4 linked regions of the Schizosaccharomyces pombe genome follow. Changing the gene in region 3 together with the main gene of any one other region gives a genetic interaction. Each region holds a gene or a part of one and is shown on either strand. Other genes may lie near its edges. The genes, in order: top1, ace2, SPOM_SPCP20C8.02C and sqs1.

Region 1 (5,033 bases), on a different chromosome or scaffold from region 3:
TGAGTAAATGTAGGTACTCGTAGAAGGTAGGATCCAAATGCTAGTGTGTTCATACTTTGTTTTACGTAATTTAATCTTTACCAACCCGATTGTATCCGCTCGTGGTTGCATTGGATTGCTCCAGCAAATAGTGAGACAAAATCTCTTCCACTGATATTTCTGCTATACCGGAACTTGTGCCAATCTGACAAAGAGAACGAAAAAGTGGAAACCGGGTTTAAAGATGCGAAAAAGGCAGTCAAATGTAAACGCTAGAGAAAAAAGTAATTTGGATGGTATAGAAGTGCTTGAAAAACTATTTAGTACAACCAAAGAAGAGTAATTGGTATAAAGATTAAAAAAGCAGCAGCTTGGCTTTTCTTTCCTTTTCTATTTGTAAAAAAAAAAAAACAAAAAAAAAATTGTTTACAAGAGTAAGTTTGCTTGTATATTGAATTTGATGATCGTAACAGGCATTTCACCAATATTAAAGAAAAAGACCTCAAGAGTAAACAGTAATTATGAAAAAAAAAGCCAAATGCAATGGGGATAGTATGAAATGTCACGTTCAATTTGTTTTGTGCTAAATTTTATTCTGTCTATATTTTTGCTGAAAAAACTTCCTTAGCTTTGCATTTTTTGTATGAATTTTTATTAAACACTAAACTAGAAGTAATTAATTCCTTCTTTCAGCACACTAAGTTGTTGTACGCTAGCATTCATTTCAAGACATCATTAAGTCACGAAATTACGAAGCACTTTCACAATTTGTCTGCCGTAGGATGATAATAAATAATTTTTTTTTAAAAAGTTCAATGAAAGATACTTTTCTTAAATCGTAGAGGACTTACCACTTCCAATCCGGAGGTGTATCAGCAGCCCAATTGAACTTGTCACGAATCGTCTTACTAAACAGCTTCTCAATAGGAACGTCTTCTCGCTTGCTGAACGAATAAGTAAGCCTCGGGTCTATGTAGTTAATCTTACTTGTACCCAAAGCAGTAGTTTTATTCTCGTCTTTATCGATCATCTGAGTACGCATAACATTAATTCGTTCATTGAGTTTGTTTAATCTTTTCTCAAGTTGTTCCATCGAAGAACGACCTGGATCGACTTTTTTGCTTTTAAGTTCAGCGTCCAGCGCTTTCTTCAACTCATCAGCCGCTTTCAATCGAACTTCCAATTCAGATTCCGGAAGCACTGATTTGGGATCCTCAGCAGCTAATTTTTCGTTCTCACGATCGAATTTCTTTTTTATTTTCTCTTTTTCTAGTTCGTAAAGTGTCTCGTGATGTTTTACGATCCATGAATCGGTAATGCCTTCTTCTTTAGCCAGCAATTCGGGCTTGCTTTTAGCAAGCTTGGGCTCTAAATTCAGCATCATTTTTCGCAGTCTCATCCGCTGGTATTGTAATGCCTTAATCCTTTCGGCAAACCGTTCCATTTGAACATCGTGATTTTTGGTTACGGAACGTTGATGATTACATAAAATTGCAACAGTCCTATTTGCCCTATTATAAAATAGTATTTTGTCTGCAAGGGTGAGGTTCTTAGGCATTTTCTTAAGTTCCTCGGCCATGGTGTATGAAGCATTGTAGGTACGAAATACTTTAGCTGAAAGTCCATCCATAAGGCTAGTCAGATATTTGTTAAGACTGTTTGTACTGAGACGGTCGAAAATTAAATCACCCTCTTTTTTGGGAGGACGTTTAAAGATCTTTAGATTTTTAAAAACTTGGGGATCAACTTCAACCTCGTTGTAGTAACGAATAGAATCTTTACCAAGAAAATCGAAAACGACTGTTCGTGGTGGCTTCAGTGTAACATGTTCATATCGCAGTGAACAACAACCAACAGTATCCGCCTCGTCTTCACCCTTTTCATTTCCTGCTCTTAAAGCAAAAACATCAATTAAATACATGGCAGTTCCTCTTTGACGCTCAACCGTTAACTCACTTTTCAAATCTTTCCGGTAGCCTTTACGGATATCATCAATATAATCCTTAAGCTTTCTTGACTTTTCGTATTTTTTTAAGTCACTCTGTCCTTTTAGAGAACTTCCTGCAGCTAAAAAGACATATTTGACATTATTATTTATATTTTCATGCCAGGTTGCCAACCAGGTCACTGTATTATCATGCTTTACCTCCGCCCATTGATGCCCAGGGAGTGGTTCTGGAACGGGTACACCTTCACCAATATTAATGGTAATTTGTTCAGGATATACTCGACGCTTTAAAGAACCAGTTTTAGGATGACTACCTCGACCACGAAATAACCCTGGAGGTTCAATACGAAAGTTACCAACCTTCTCCTTTCTCCCATCAAGTATGCACCATTTATATTTTTCCTCTTCCTCATCTTTTTTCTGCTTTATTGCCTTCTTCTGTTCCTTCGGCATACTCTTCTTCTCTTCCCTCTTTTGCTCAAAATGGTGAAACATTTGGGTAAAATCACATTTAGAAAACTCTTTAATGTTGTGATTAAAGTTACATTCATCACAGACCTTTAAGAAGTCACGGAAAAAATTATCTTGGAATACAGGATTTTTGGCATGATCGGTTTCAAGCATTGCAGCATAAAAACCAGCAACTTCTTCTGCTTCGGGAGGAAGATTTACGGGGTTTCCATCGTAAATTAGCTTGACGTTCTTTGGTAAAGGTTCATAGGGTGGAGCAAAAATTACACCATTATGCTCCAATGTAGTCCATTTTTGAGTATCATCGATATTTTCTGAAGTCCACCACTTGTAATCCTCATCTTCATCTTCCTCATCGTTTGGTGAGCGATTTTGCGTGGTCGAAGCTCCCGAAGGCAGTTCTGATTTGTAAGGAGTTAAAGATACAGTCGAAACAGCTCTCAATGGAACTGAATCATCTGTGTCACTTTCCTCTTTTTTAACAGCTGACTTCGCGCCATTTTTACTTCCATTCGCTTTAGAAACACGTTTATGCTTCGGTGAGGGCTTTGCAATTTCATTGAAATCCTCTTCCTCTTTTACAACCGCCGTTTTTTTTCCGTTTTTTAAACCACCATTTCCCATTACTTTAGCTCTTTTTTTAGAGCTTGAATTGGACATATTTTTCTTTGAAGAAGCACGTCTCTTTCTAATCGGTATATCATCCTCATCACTCTCGGATTTGGATTTCTTATTCAACGATTCACTAAGAGGATGATTCTAAACAATTAGTCAACAATCTTTAATTATTATGTTGTGAACATACTTCAGAACTATCACTCTCTTCGTCCGACTCCTTCATACTAATCCGTTTAGATGAACCGCGTCTTTGCCTCCTTCTAATGGATAAAGACACGGAATCTGAATCTTTTCAGTTGTTAAAAATTTTGCAAATGTTGTTAAATTACGTGAAACCTTACCAGACGAAGACATTGTGAATTGTTTGCATACATCTATAATACAGTAAAAGAAGGATTAATATTGAGTACGTACACTCGTTGTCATGACAACCAAATATTGACAATTAATGTTTGTAAAAATTAGTAGCTAAATGAGAAACTGGAATTTTCAAATAAAATAAAATTTAATGTTACGAAGCTTGCAGCAAAAAGCTATAAATGTGCATATTTCAAAATAAACCCATTAACAGTACGAGAAAAGTAATCTCTAATAATTTTGAAAGCTTTAACTTTACATTTATTGTAAACAATACCAAAAGCCACTGAATATCCAAAACAAAAAAAAGGTGATTTGATTGATACAATAAGCCATTAGCTGCCAAATATTGGAGGTTTATTATTTAATATGTAAGCTAATATTTTGGCAGTAAATAGCAAATAGCTTAACAGCATATAGGGAAAGCTTTAATGCCACTTCAAATTCATAAACTACTAAGGACTTAATAAAGTGGGTTAATAAAAAAAACAATAATTAAAATTATGGGATTCTCTTAGTGAAAAAAAATGAGATTAAATATCGTCTTTAGCTGTTGAACAAATTAATGAAACTGGGTGATCATCACTCATTCAAAGATTCAATATTTGGAATAAAAGCTCTTATTAGAGAGCTTCCAGTTACCATTCCCGTAGTCATAAATGTGAATTCATATAAATCTTCTTTTTCTTGCAATAAACGAAATGCAGCCAGCTCTGTGTACGTGCAACCACCGATGAAAAAAACTAAAACACGACGTTTACCTGGTACGTTTGTCTTCAAATTTTTAGGCATGACCTTTTCCTGGTCTAATGTCCACTTGTCAACGTAAGTTCCAGGCATATTTTGCAACTTAAGAATTTTTTCTTCATTGTCTCTGCCTTTTAAAATGTCATATGCTATGTGGACTGACAAAGGACCGTACCCGCTGTACGTATAGGCTATATCTTCAGGATTCTGCTCATCAACTTCGTCCTTAACCAAAGGATAAGTGTTTAACCATGTAGAATAAGACAATGATTTTTGAAGTGAAATATTAGTGGATTGCCGGAGGCGCAATAGTCCTGCATCTATCAAGGCTTGGAATGTTAAAAGGTGATAATAACCATATGTTTGAGTGATTTCCCTACGGTAATGATCTATATCTTTTCTTCTCAAACCATTGGTAGTTATACTTGCAAGGCAAAGTACTCGAAAAACCTCTTCAACAGGTGCTTCGGCATAGATAATTTCATCTAATAAATTGAATTGAGTAAAAGAATCGGCATGAGAAACTAGCAAATGCTGAAGTTGTAGTAGCTTTTGAAAGTAATTATTTTTTGTGTGTTGCACCAAAGTTTCAGCGAGACCAGTGTCTATCTAATTAATAAAATTTTTTATGGAAATCAAAAGAAAAAAATACTTACGAATATTTAATGATGTATGCTCCGATTGTAAGGAACCCAGTTTGGAAACGAAGTCTCTAATCTGATTTACAGTTTTGGCTTGACGTCGACCTTCAAAATCGCTGGATAGTTTTCGAGCAATTTTGCTTAAATAAGGGCCTATGCAATTAAAATTTATGTCTCTAATTTCCTTGGTAATTTGGCTGGAAGAAGAACTTAAAGAAAACTTTTTCATCGGTCCAGTATTTGAAGCTTCATTTCGGTTAACCAAGGATGAA
Region 2 (4,241 bases), on a different chromosome or scaffold from region 3:
ATAAGCTACGACGAGTTTTCGTATTTTTTGGTTCTTTGCAAATAGAAATGAATTATCTTTTCTCTTGCCGACAAAATTTCCTCCAATGACCAGCAATAATAGTTAAAACAATCATTGGTTTCTCTGTTTAAGTCATAGTGATTAATTTGTTGAATTATTATTATCATAATAAATGCTTGCTTGGCAGCATACTACAACCACTGTTTTCCAATGAAATACTTCGCATACTATAGTAATTAAATACAAGTTTTCCCTAGAAATACCAACTTAAACATATGTTGACTAAACATCGGTGCGAGTGAAAGCAAACACTAATTCTTACTCATGTATCCAAGTTGTTTGTCAGGTTTGGGGAAACTAGTTTTACCATTTCAGCCGTTCAACGATACGAACAACTTCATAGTTGTATTTCCATTTCACAAAGATTAATCTGTAGATTTTAGATGATGCAGAGTTATACACAATACTAGGGTGATGAATAAATATACAAAAGACAGATACAAGTTGATAAATTATCAAAATTGTCACAGCATTAGTTCATGTACGATGCTTGAATTTGAATTTATATAAAAGCAAATTAAAAACAATAATATTAGTAAAATTAAAAAATCCCAAAAAAAAACCAAACATAACTCATTATAATGCAATGCGATGCAAGTTGTACAGCTGTCATCATTAGTGCTGTCTGCGATCTACGCCGCCAACACATATATTTCTCTGCTTATGCCGATTTAAGGCATCAAGTCGGTTAAATCTCTTTAAGCATTCACATACATATGGCCTGCCATTTTCGTGAATCCTCAGATGACGCTTAAGATCGTGGTGACGAACAAAGCCAGCTTTGCATAAGTCACAGCGATACGGACGGTCGCTCAGATGTGTTTGAATATGCGATTCAACATTATATTTGCGAGCAATACGTTTATTGCACCCGTTGTACAAACAGACGTACTTTCCATCTGCTTCAGGGCCGCAATATAAGCTAGCCATTGTCTCCGGAGGAATTCTACAAATCCTAGTTGATTGCTTGCGAGTTTTGCATCTATGATCGTATGAAATTCTGACCGGAGGTTTGGAATCATGCTCGGTGACTTGAGGAGTAATTGATAAATCAGCAGATTCAATTTTTGGAGCTAATTGTTCTTCTTCCTTGACAGTGATACAAGGTTCAGGTTTCTTGGTAACTATGCAAGATTCATAAGGTGCACTTAATGCAAACTGCTGTGTCAAAGTGTTGTTGATATTTGCGTTCGATATGTCAAGTCCATGATCGCAAACGGATGAGAATTTTTCAAATTCAGAAACGTATTCAGCAGGTGATGATAACTTTGCAAACGCTTTCTGGTTGTCAGTATGCCTGCATACATCCAAATGGGAAAACGAAGAATCTAGAGCAAAGGAGGGCTTTTGAGGCGAAGTGGGCTCTAGCTTTACAAGTTGGGCAAATGGGGATACAGGGGAGATATTAGGTGCAGTCTCTGGACTCGATAAGTCTACAGGATGTGCCGGACTTGGTTGGGATATTTGAAAGTTCAATTCTTCAAATGAAGGCGCACCGTTTATCTCATCTAATCCAGGGGGAGAGGATGGGAGGAACATAAACTCATTAAATGATTCCAATTGCGAAGAGCTGGGAAGAACGGAAGAGGCAGGACCCGAGGTTTCAGGTATACTTGAGGAAAGGTAGTCGAAATTTTCGAGGTGATCTTTGTTGGAGCAAGTTTCCGTCTTTATTTCTGGTATGTCAAACTCAGGAAACGAAAGGACTTGTTGTTGAGAGTCCAGCTCATCAATCCAATTTGATGCATCATAACCAATTTCGGAAAAGGCCTGTTGAGAGTTGGTCAAGGAAAATGCGTCATTGTTATTAAAATTTTGCTCGGTATGGATTTGTGATACGCAAGTTAAAGGCGAGGAAGGGGGTGATAAGGAAGCATCAAAGGAGGATGCATACGAGTGAGAGTCGGGGAGCGATATTTGGTTCGATAAAAAGTATGCAGAATTCGCTTCCAACAAAGGGTTAAACGGTGTTTTTAGAACAGAACTATAGTCAAACTGATCTTGAAAGTTCTGAAGATGAGAAGGCGGTGAAGGGATAACAGCTTGATTTAAAGACACCTCATTTTCAAAGGGAGCGAAGGAGGAAAAAGAAGTATGCTTGCTATCGCCAAAAGTTTCATAATCCCTTTGGTACGAATGATTACAAGCTGGACTCTCTTCTTGTCGAAATGATTCAAACGACTTTTGCGAAGAAGATGATAAATATGAAAGCGACATTGTCTTGTTTACTTAGGATAGCGAGTATCTAGTGCAATGCGTAGAGAAATCAAGGAGAGAACGATGAGAGAAATGACTCTTGAAAAGAGTGCTTGATAACTTGAAGTGAGATGAAAGTGTGGCTCAAAGCCAGTCTAACCCAGTAGATGATTGAACTAATCACTCTTCGATTTTTTTTTGTTTGTTACAGCAATGTTTGGTGCGCTGGCTATTTGTTTATATCAAATAGCTACTCCGTTGCTATGACGACAATTGTTGAATTTTATGCTTCACTTTACCGCAAAACAAGTCACTATTTGTTTACATTGCATGGATTACCGAACCATATCACAACAACGCAATACAAGTGTAAACACAGACCCAGGGATTGTTTATTTACCTTTTGTTGCCAAAGGGACAAATCAACTATTTTTTGAATTAAACCAGTAAAAGGTTTGATTGAAAGACACTACCACTAATAAACAGGATAATCACGGCTATGAAAATGTCTACGCTTCAACAACTGGATCATGGATGATATTAGAAAACATAGATTAAGTATGACAAGCCAAAAAAAAACGGTAACCAACCTGAAAAAACGACAACGACGTTGAGATCAAAAACCTTAAGGTATTAGTATTAGTATAGAGCTAGCAAGAGAAAAAATGCCATGGAAAAGTTTTTAAATGCAATGAATAAGTTACTTACAACACTGACAATCAAAAGGGCAATCCGGTGTACCTCCACCTTGGCCAATGTTTAATTCCTCCTCGTCATATACAAGAAACCCTTCCTCGGTACGCTTTCCTAAAACACAAAACGTTAATACAATTACTGATGATAAGGAGAAAAGTGCCGTTGCTAGGTAAGTATTGCATCGTTCGGCAAACATTCCCGTAAACAGAATAGCGAATAAGGTTCAATACCACACAATAGAGCTTAATGATTTGGAGTCTCCACCAACACTAAACATCATTGTGAAATGTATCTCCCTAGAAAAACGTAATCTAGCTCTAGCAGTATATAATAAATAAATAAGTATATAGCACAGTTCGAAGTTTCTCAATCTTTTAGACAATAAATATGAATTTGAGGTCAAAGAATTGACAAACAACGCGGATGCCAAACATGAACGAATGCAATCATTAACCAAGTAGCGAGAACGTATGTAAGGATGAACTATCAAACGGCAAAAAGTGTCTTACTTCCTGAGGCTCCCTTTGGATCTAAAAATAAATCGTCTTGGTTATTAGTAGGTTTTGGACGACTTGGAGTAGATTTTGTCTTGGCTCCTTTCTTAGGGGCTTTCGCCTCCGACTTTGAGTCATTTGACTTTTCATTTGCAGGGTTTGCCTTTTTAGAAGCAAAAATGTCGTCGATTTCCATCTTTTAAATACTCGTAGAGAGGAGTTTGCCAAGTCAATGGCAATTGTATAATTGAGTAGAGAGACAGTTTGTTGTAGCTTGCAAACTTGCTAGAAATTCTTTTGCGGTACCGTGCTTCATAAAATAAGAATTCTCTAAAATGCTTAAATCTGCATAACGTATTCTCTCGTATTACGGTAAAGAATTTGTAATATTTATAAGAATGATTCTTCAGAAGAAACTTGTACCAGCATTAAGGCATGAGATTGATCGATTCCTTTTTTTTCCTTTGGTTCTTTATTATGTTTAAAATTGTTTAATTTTGTTTAGAAGCTGTATCACCTCTGTCATCGGTATTTCGAAACGGCAATAAAATGTAGACAATTCTTTGGCCAAGCTTTCTTTATAAAAGCATATTTAGGTCAACTCTATCCTAATACCATAAATTAACACTTTTTGTCTTCATTTAAGAAGCGAATTATTGCTGTATCAAATTAACAAATGCAAAATCTCATTGCTTAATAAACGAAATACTTTAGTAATTAAGCATAAGATAAAAATAAAGTGAATACTATTTGACAATGAAAATCAGCTCAAAACCTCTGTCAATTCTTTTTCAG
Region 3 (3,231 bases):
GCTCAAGGGATATAAACTGGTTATTGAAATAGCCTCTGCAAATTAATGAAAGAAACAAAGCTTAATAGAATACCCCCAATTATTTTAAGACGAAAGAGTTTTTTCACGTTCCTGAAACAATGTGTTTAAGAAACTCTCAAGCAAGTATACTTTCATTGAAATATACCTCTGCTGTTAAATAGTTACTATGAGCAAATATAATAGGTAAACTGCACAAAGCAAATACGTAAAAACTCCTACATAATACTTGATATGTACAATTGTCATTTAGCTTGAAAATGCTAGATAGAATAGAAACGCCTCTAAAGAAAACTATATTTAAATAAATTGAATAAAAAATAAAATGGCAAATTTGCCCATTTACGTAATGTTACACATTGATATCCAAAAGGAACTTTTATCGTACATAAACACAATTTATTTAATTTGGAAAGATTGAGTTTTGTATATTCTTGACTAACTATTGGTCTAAGTTGACATTTATTTAACCCATATTTATTATCCAATTACTCGCTTCGTTTTTACAAGTACTGACATCTCTTAATCCTGCCTATACCATTTATCCTGTGTATTATTCACTCATTTAAAATTAAGATTATTCTAATCATCTCAAATCGGGCGATCTCATCTGGTTTGTGAGTCGGACTAGTTCAACTTCATAGACCACTAAGCTCTAAACATGATCTCAAATAAAGTCACCATTTACTACCCTGAGATAAAATTGCTGGTGACTTCATTCGTAGGTATCATCAATGACAATATCTATAAATGGAAATACGCTATATACCTTGCGTTGCCTAAATAGCTGAGTACAACCTGTTGGACGACTTCTCTTGCAGTAGTCCGTAAACTTGGAATTGACTCCAGCTCCTTTAACTTTGCAGCTCCATTGCATTGTCTGTTCGGAACCAGCACAGTGTCCTTCACATCTCTCTACTAGACAACCTAAACTTAGAAAGCTTTGACCTCCTACTATGCAACTCCATGAAACTCCGTAGTTGTTGTCACAAACCAACTTGCTTGACTATCATCGACATATTTGTATTGAACATTGTACAGATGTGCTATCAACACACCACAAGAAGCAAGAGACACGGTTTGTCTCTTATTCGCCCCTTGTACATTGCAAAAGCTAATGTCCAAATCCTTAATCGATATACCTGGTTGAAGGATTGATATTTTCAGGTCCTTCATAAACACTGTCACCAAATATATAACAATCAGTGGTATACTGACCTGTTAGAAGTTGACATAAGTAAGCATCGGTATCAGTGTTTGTTTCTGTAATGCTATTTAATAAGTAGTTGTAAGCTTCAATTCGTACATCAGCTGTATCAAATAGCATCAGTCCATGTTGGTCAATTAAATTAGCAAGTAATTCTGCATAGTTGGGAGGCAGCTTAGCATAGTCAACAAAAGTCAAATTCACCTCAGCTAAGACAAGTTTTATGAATACACAACAAATACAAAACAGCAATAACATATAAGATCTGTCAGGTTCTAATGTTATATCTTTCTCCGTTTAGCTTATAAAACTAACCGAAAAAAAGTGTATATATACTGAGTTCTACCTTTAAATTAATTTTTGTAGTTGAACAATATTAACGGTTTGAAATGATATATTACATGATAATTGTCCCATGCGACTAACTCGGTTGTTGCCGGGGGCATTTGATGTATGAGGAGTCAGTGTTAGCTACGCGGTTTGGTATCTGTTTAACATACTTAGAACCGCGGTGAGTTTTCCTTGTGATCTATTATATTGCAATACACAGGTACTATATGTAGCAACTTGATATTGGTAAACACCAGCGCATCTTATTGTATCGTCTTTCTAAAACCAAACTGCGTAGAGGAAGAACACTGCCTCAGCACCTTTCGTTAAAATCATAGGAGCGCTTTTTTAACCGACTTGGAATTAGTTGGAATATGTTCAAAGCAATAATCTTTGATCTTTTCCTGTTAAACGAAAGGAAAAAAATTTCAACAATGAGTCAAATTCTTAGCAAAAAGCAGTTTTGAGTGATAATATAATTCCTTTCAATGTTTTGTTTATTTTTGTATACCCATGGGATGAAGGTTAAGAAACACCAGACAACTGAAGATAAAGTTAAAAACTTATTTTTATTTTATTTTAACTTTATCTTTAGAAAATTGACATAGGTGAGTACAGGTTAGAATAAGTTTCTTATATTTCCAAACTGGAATTATTTAATGCAAACATATAATGCAGTTATCTATTTATCTAAACATCTGCGCCACTAGACATTTTCATTGTTCTTACTTATTAAAGGCCCTATTTTTGTTTTCTTTTCTTTGTTTACCTCTTTTGGTCCTTTGCATGCTTTGTTTTCATTGTAGATAATGAGGGTTCCAAAGGCTTTGAAAATTATATATATATTTATACATAAACTGGTGTAACTTTGTAATTGTATTTTTATCTGGTGTTCTTGATCCTGGATACATATTGAACAACACGTTTAAAACACTCTACCAACTTTTAATAAACAGCGTTAACATTTACTAGAACAACACACTATATCTTTCTAAAAAATGACTACGCTCATTATTGATTAAAAATCGACGTCAAACGAGAATTTTGAAAATGGTTTCGACTTACCTCCACCAGATGATTCAGCAGAAGACTTGCAACCGTTTATCAAGAAATTCGAAAGATCTCTAAATTCTGCTTTACTAGAATTCGGTGAGAATAATCAGGAAACGATTGAAAAATTTTCGTCAAGCAAAGGAACATTAAATAGATTTGAAACTGAATGTGATCAAAAGTTGCGAAATTGGAAGAGATTGGCGATAGAAAGGGAAGTTCCGGAGGAACCATTGGGAGAATTACAGTTTCCACGCTGGATAGACGAATGGGCAAATACTAAACTAGGAGGAATTTTCGAGCGAATATTTTCTAAAATAACTCAACGCAGAATGACATGAATTCTAGGTTTGACGCTATGTACAATGAGATGACTGTCATGAAAAATGACATTGCTTCCATCAAAGGTAAAGCAACTACTTTTAAGAACGAATTAACTGCCATCAAAGGTTCTATATCTCAATTAGATAGAAAAATCGATCTTTTGGATCAAAAAACTGAAGAAAGATTTAATAATATGGCTCAAACGATGCAAAAAATTGATGATCGTTCTTGCAAGTCGATGATGCTAACAAAAAAATATGAAAATATGGTCCGTTCAAATATGCATTATTCGGCTGTTCCAG
Region 4 (4,633 bases), on a different chromosome or scaffold from region 3:
TTAATTCAGAATTAAAAAAGAACGCGAATTCCTGAAGTTCAACAAAATACTCGGGGACGAAAGTACAAACCCGTACCGAACTTGGCTATCCACAGAGCTTCCGTTTGAATCGTTTCTTCGAGCTTCCCAGGCTTGAAAACTCCTTTACTTTAAACAATACACTAGTTCCTTAATAAGGATACAGTGTTTGACAGATTGTCGTCAAAAAACACTTAAGAATTCGATTAGTTGTTAAGTGGAAAAGTTAGCTCCGACGGGCCCCATAAAGGCTGAAGTCAGTCGAACCTAGGCGAACACTATTGACCCTTACCGAAACGGTATTTTTGCCTTATACTATTTAACGAATGAAAAAGGCTCCGATTGATACTTGGTTGAAACTGCGAATAGTGCGATGTTGGGTATCACTATTGACCGATATTGCCTGTTAAAATGACCTAAACGTTACTTTACATAACTCCTTATACTGTATTACACGTGTTATATATTAAACGCTAACTGATTTTACGATTATCTTCTTTAAATAGCAATAATAACTCTGTACACTGCGATATCACCGTTTTGTAGAACTTCTTTAGCTGCAGTATGCCCATAGCAGCAACTTACATATTCAATTGCTCCTGTAGTGAGAATAATTATTCTGTCTATTTAAATGAAGTTTATATCTTAAAATAAAAGATAGTTATCTTTCTGGATTTCCGGTTTATCTCTTGAATGGAAAGACACCATGTCGAAGTACCCACGGTTAATTTTTTACTTCACATCAATATGTACAAATCGCTAATTTGAATATGATGCTTAACCTAGAATAGTATATATTTATATATATATATATATAAATTGGAGTATTATCTCAAGTAAATAAGACACAGCTGATTAGTTTCTCGGTTTGACCAGTCACCCTGGTTTTCTAACCTAAACCACTTCTGCTAACTTTAACAATAGCACGTAAACTATCTTTGGAACCTTCATTTTCGGGATGACCAAGTCCTTTACCTGCATACCATCCTAACTTTTCGAGCAACCGACGACCTGGATTTTCTTTGCTAATTTCAGGGGCATCTTCTCCAACAATTTGGCCATCATATACACGTGTGGCTTTACTCGACCTCACAGAGGAAACAGTCATTCGAGATTTCCTACCAGATTTGGAAAATGACTGATACTCAACCCTGGTCTGTAAACGCTCCATAATCCTGGTAAGTGAAACCAAATCCACACTAGATGCATCAAATTTATGAGTTTTGGAAAGCATAGTATACCGCTTGTTTCCAGATCCATAACTTCTCGACTTCAAGTTCAAATCGTTGGCAAGCGCATGAACCAATCGACGAACATATTTTCTGCATGGAGGAAGGGAAATTTCTTCAATGGCCGAGTGCTTAAACTGTTGCATCCGTTGATAAACATCATTTATAAATATCTTATCAATTCGTGTAAGACTAGCATTGTCAGAATCGGAAGAAGACGGCTTCTGGCTTTCGCGCAAAAGTTTCTTTTTGCTTTTCTTTCCAAGTAGCCCCTCAGAGCGGAGTTTCTCCCTTTCCGCTCGTCTTCTTGCCTTTTTGCTTTTATCTTTAAGCCATTGTTCTTGCAATTCAGCGTACAAGTTCATGCTCTCATCGTCCAAAGAATTGGAAAAGGCATCTCCCATTCTAGCGGCCACAGCCTTTCCTGCCTTTCTCTCTAATTTCTTTTGAGCTTTACGCATTTTTTTAGGAAGTTTGCGATCTTTTTTCAAACCTTTTTCTTCTTTTACCTTCGCCCCTTTTTTGCTTTGAGAAACTTTTTCCGTTTTTTGAGTTGAGGGGTTATTGTACTCTTCATCCTCACTGTCATAATCATAAATAGTAAAATCATTTTGCAAAGTATCTCCAATACTAAGGTATGCCTCAATCTCGGAATCATCACTAGCATCAAAAATTGCCAAAAGCTCTTCTTCATCTTCATCTTCATCTTCTTCCAAAATATCATCTTCATCTTCGGCTAATGAATCTGTATTTCCCACAAGTTCCGTCGTTAACTTAGCATAATCATAGTCATCTGATCCCTCATCAAATTCTAAAGATTCCGAATCTTCAAGTGAAAAATTTACTTTACCCTCTGTCTCATCGTAATTTGATATTTCAGGTTTTTCTTTCTCCTCTTCCTCCTCTTCTTTCTCTCCTTCTAGCTCTTCATCTTCGTCCTCATCATCATCATCTTCTTCTAAAACGGAGAGGTCGGCAAACTTGTTCATAGTAAACGTAGTCATTTTATCGGTGGTGTCATCAATATCAAACTCGTCTTCATTTTCGGTACTCAACTGCTCCTGTGCCTGAGCCAAAGGCGGTGGAGGTGCAGCGTTATTGTTAGCAATATCATCATTGACCAAGTTTGGAACATTTAGTATGTCTAAAGAGTCATCATTATCTTTAGAATATAACTCCTTCTCAGATTCTTGTTCTTTGTAACACAACTGCTCACTTTCTTCTGTAGATGAAATTTCCTTATCACTTGGTGCAAGATTTAAAGAATGCTGAATCAAAACATTTTCGTTCATGCTTTTCTCAGGAAAACTTGAAACTTCTACATTCTTGGTGGTATCAAACGCTTCCGCATATTCCGGAATTTTCTTTACTTTCAATGTATCACCTTTCGAAGTAATTGCTTTAAATAACACAATGTCCAACGCCTTTATTTCACCGGTTTTTGATAAATCTTCGCAGGACTTAACGTTGGTTTCCTTGGGAAGCATAATCTCTTTGCTTTGGTGCTTAGCTTCATTGTGGGCATTTTGTTCATCGATTAATTGACACAATTCTTCCGCCGGGTTGTAATTGTCCTTAGCACGTATAAAGGTAATTCGGGGCCATTGTGAAATTCGACTACTAGGGTTTAAACCAAAAGGGCTTTTAGAATTATTGGATCCCTTAAATCTTCGGATTCGTGTATCACCACGAAACCTGGCAGAAGTTTGTAACTGATCTAAAATCTGTAGATCATCAAAATTTGACATTGAGGGATACAAGTCAAAAAATATGATAAAAAAAATAATATATAATTGTTTTAATAAATAATGATGGTGAAATCCTAAATTGTGAGGTGCGTAAACCAAATGGTGGTAGTAGGATGGAGTCTTGGGGGAAAGTGCTTCATATAGTACACTAAACGATTTTGCCACGGTATTAAATACAAATTTCTAAATATTCAATTTACAATTTAACTATTAATTTCAAGTATACACGTCTATTTAAACTGAAGTTGAGGAGATTCATACATTGACCGACTCAAAGTTGAATATGAATTAACCGACAGTAGCTCATCATGTAATTATAAGTTATAAATTTTTGTATAAAACATATAAAACAGCCAAATAACTATAATGTAAATAGTGCAAGAAATAGAATGTTAGAATATAGAACGCTATACTAATGCAGTTTCTTTTACGTCCCTCGAGAGCAACGACAGGGGAAACGATTTGTTCTTGAAACAGGGAGCAATGTAAAAATACATAGAATTACTTTATAATGAAAAAAATTCCTTTTTATTTTAAAAGTATAAAAGAGAAGCGTCGAATAGGGAACGAGATGACAAATTCTGCATATGATGAGAACGGTAAGGAATTTGAAGTTGAACACATACACAAAAGTGTATTCAGAAAAAGGAATAAATAATGTAATACGCTCAAAAAAAAGAAAGTAATAGAAATTTTTCTTAAGAATTTCAAACTTAGACAACGAAAAATAACAGTGAGTGCAGATATATGTATAAGTAGCGAGCGAACCGAATATTAAATACAAAAAAACAGCTATACCTTGGTACGTTTTTGAGCGTTCAGCATATCAGAAGAATAGAAGTTAGGATTATTGTTGGGATTTTCACCTTCAACCATTGGGGAATGGGTACCTTGGCGTTTAATCCCCTGAAGACTATAGGGCGGAACAGAGGCAATCGGCATGGATTGAGGAAGAATTGATGGATCCATATTGGGGATATTATTTTGGTCCAAAAGACGATTAGCTTGACTAATTGCATTAGCAGGCATAGTGGGAGGTTGCTTGGCATAACGATAATTAGAGGCAAGACTAGCAACATCACCATTCCTAGGCGAGCCATTAAACCCCGAGGGGGCTGGATTTGCATATGGAATATTAGAGGAAGTAGACTTTTGCATTTGATGCTGTTGTTGTAAAGCTGTAGCAAATTTATGTAAAGCGCTAGTCGGACCCGATCGCTGAGCAAGAGTGAAGGCTATGAGATCGCGCATTCCCGAAATTGTTTCAGTAATTTCCATGAACCGCATGATGTGCGGTTCCAATCCATATTCGTTGACGGGTGAATCCGGCAAAAGAGAAGAAGATGAGTTAATATTTACACTTTCGGATGACGGATCCTCACTTTTTACCCCATCGTGTTGTATTTGATTTTGAGGAGGCCGCGACTGCGAAAGGGCTAGGGAAGCGTTTGTCATTAACTCGCGCAAAAGATACTCGGAATGTCCGACAGCTGAAAACTCTAAAGAGTCTAATTTTAACAAAGGAGCACGAAAGAAATGAGCCCGCAAGTGCCCCGATACAATTACCTGTACACCGCCTTGATACTGATATAAAATGCTTGCCCTTGACGATTCCACAAAATACCCATTGTTTGGAAT

What was found.
Region 1: mutations in SPOM_SPCP20C8.02C (region 3) and top1 together harm fitness more than expected from each alone (negative genetic interaction), as found in Schizosaccharomyces pombe (one large-scale study listed by BioGRID).
Region 2: mutations in SPOM_SPCP20C8.02C (region 3) and ace2 together harm fitness more than expected from each alone (negative genetic interaction), as found in Schizosaccharomyces pombe (one large-scale study listed by BioGRID).
Region 4: mutations in SPOM_SPCP20C8.02C (region 3) and sqs1 together harm fitness less than expected from each alone (positive genetic interaction), as found in Schizosaccharomyces pombe (one large-scale study listed by BioGRID).

What each region holds. Positions count from the first base shown.
Region 1 is NC_003423.3:2,941,211-2,946,243, forward strand, and holds top1 (DNA topoisomerase I), read right to left. Parts: upstream 3,387-5,033; 5' UTR 3,371-3,386; coding exon 3,358-3,370; exon of another isoform or gene 3,305-3,357; coding exon 3,204-3,304; exon of another isoform or gene 3,158-3,203; coding exon 827-3,157; 3' UTR 524-826; downstream 1-523. Other genes in the region: HOPS/CORVET complex subunit, vacuolar sorting protein Vps33, read right to left, coding at 3,956-4,725, 4,777-5,033. UniProt on the Schizosaccharomyces pombe protein: Releases the supercoiling and torsional tension of DNA introduced during the DNA replication and transcription by transiently cleaving and rejoining one strand of the DNA duplex.
Region 2 is NC_003424.3:3,238,691-3,242,931, forward strand, and holds ace2 (DNA-binding transcription factor Ace2), read right to left. Parts: upstream 2,464-4,241; 5' UTR 2,278-2,463; coding exon 676-2,277; 3' UTR 542-675; downstream 1-541. Other genes in the region: SPOM_SPAC6G9.01C (uncharacterized protein), read right to left, coding at 2,873-2,880, 2,965-3,063, 3,462-3,642. UniProt on the Schizosaccharomyces pombe protein: Regulates the transcription of genes required for cell separation.
Region 3 is NC_003421.2:30,038-33,268, forward strand, and holds SPOM_SPCP20C8.02C (uncharacterized protein), read right to left. Parts: upstream 1,484-3,231; coding exon 1,148-1,483; 3' UTR 524-1,147; downstream 1-523.
Region 4 is NC_003423.3:1,301,034-1,305,666, forward strand, and holds sqs1 (G-patch and R3H domain-containing protein), read right to left. Parts: upstream 3,103-4,633; 5' UTR 2,996-3,102; coding exon 908-2,995; 3' UTR 564-907; downstream 1-563. Other genes in the region: ldb1 (LIM domain binding protein), read right to left, coding at 3,788-4,633.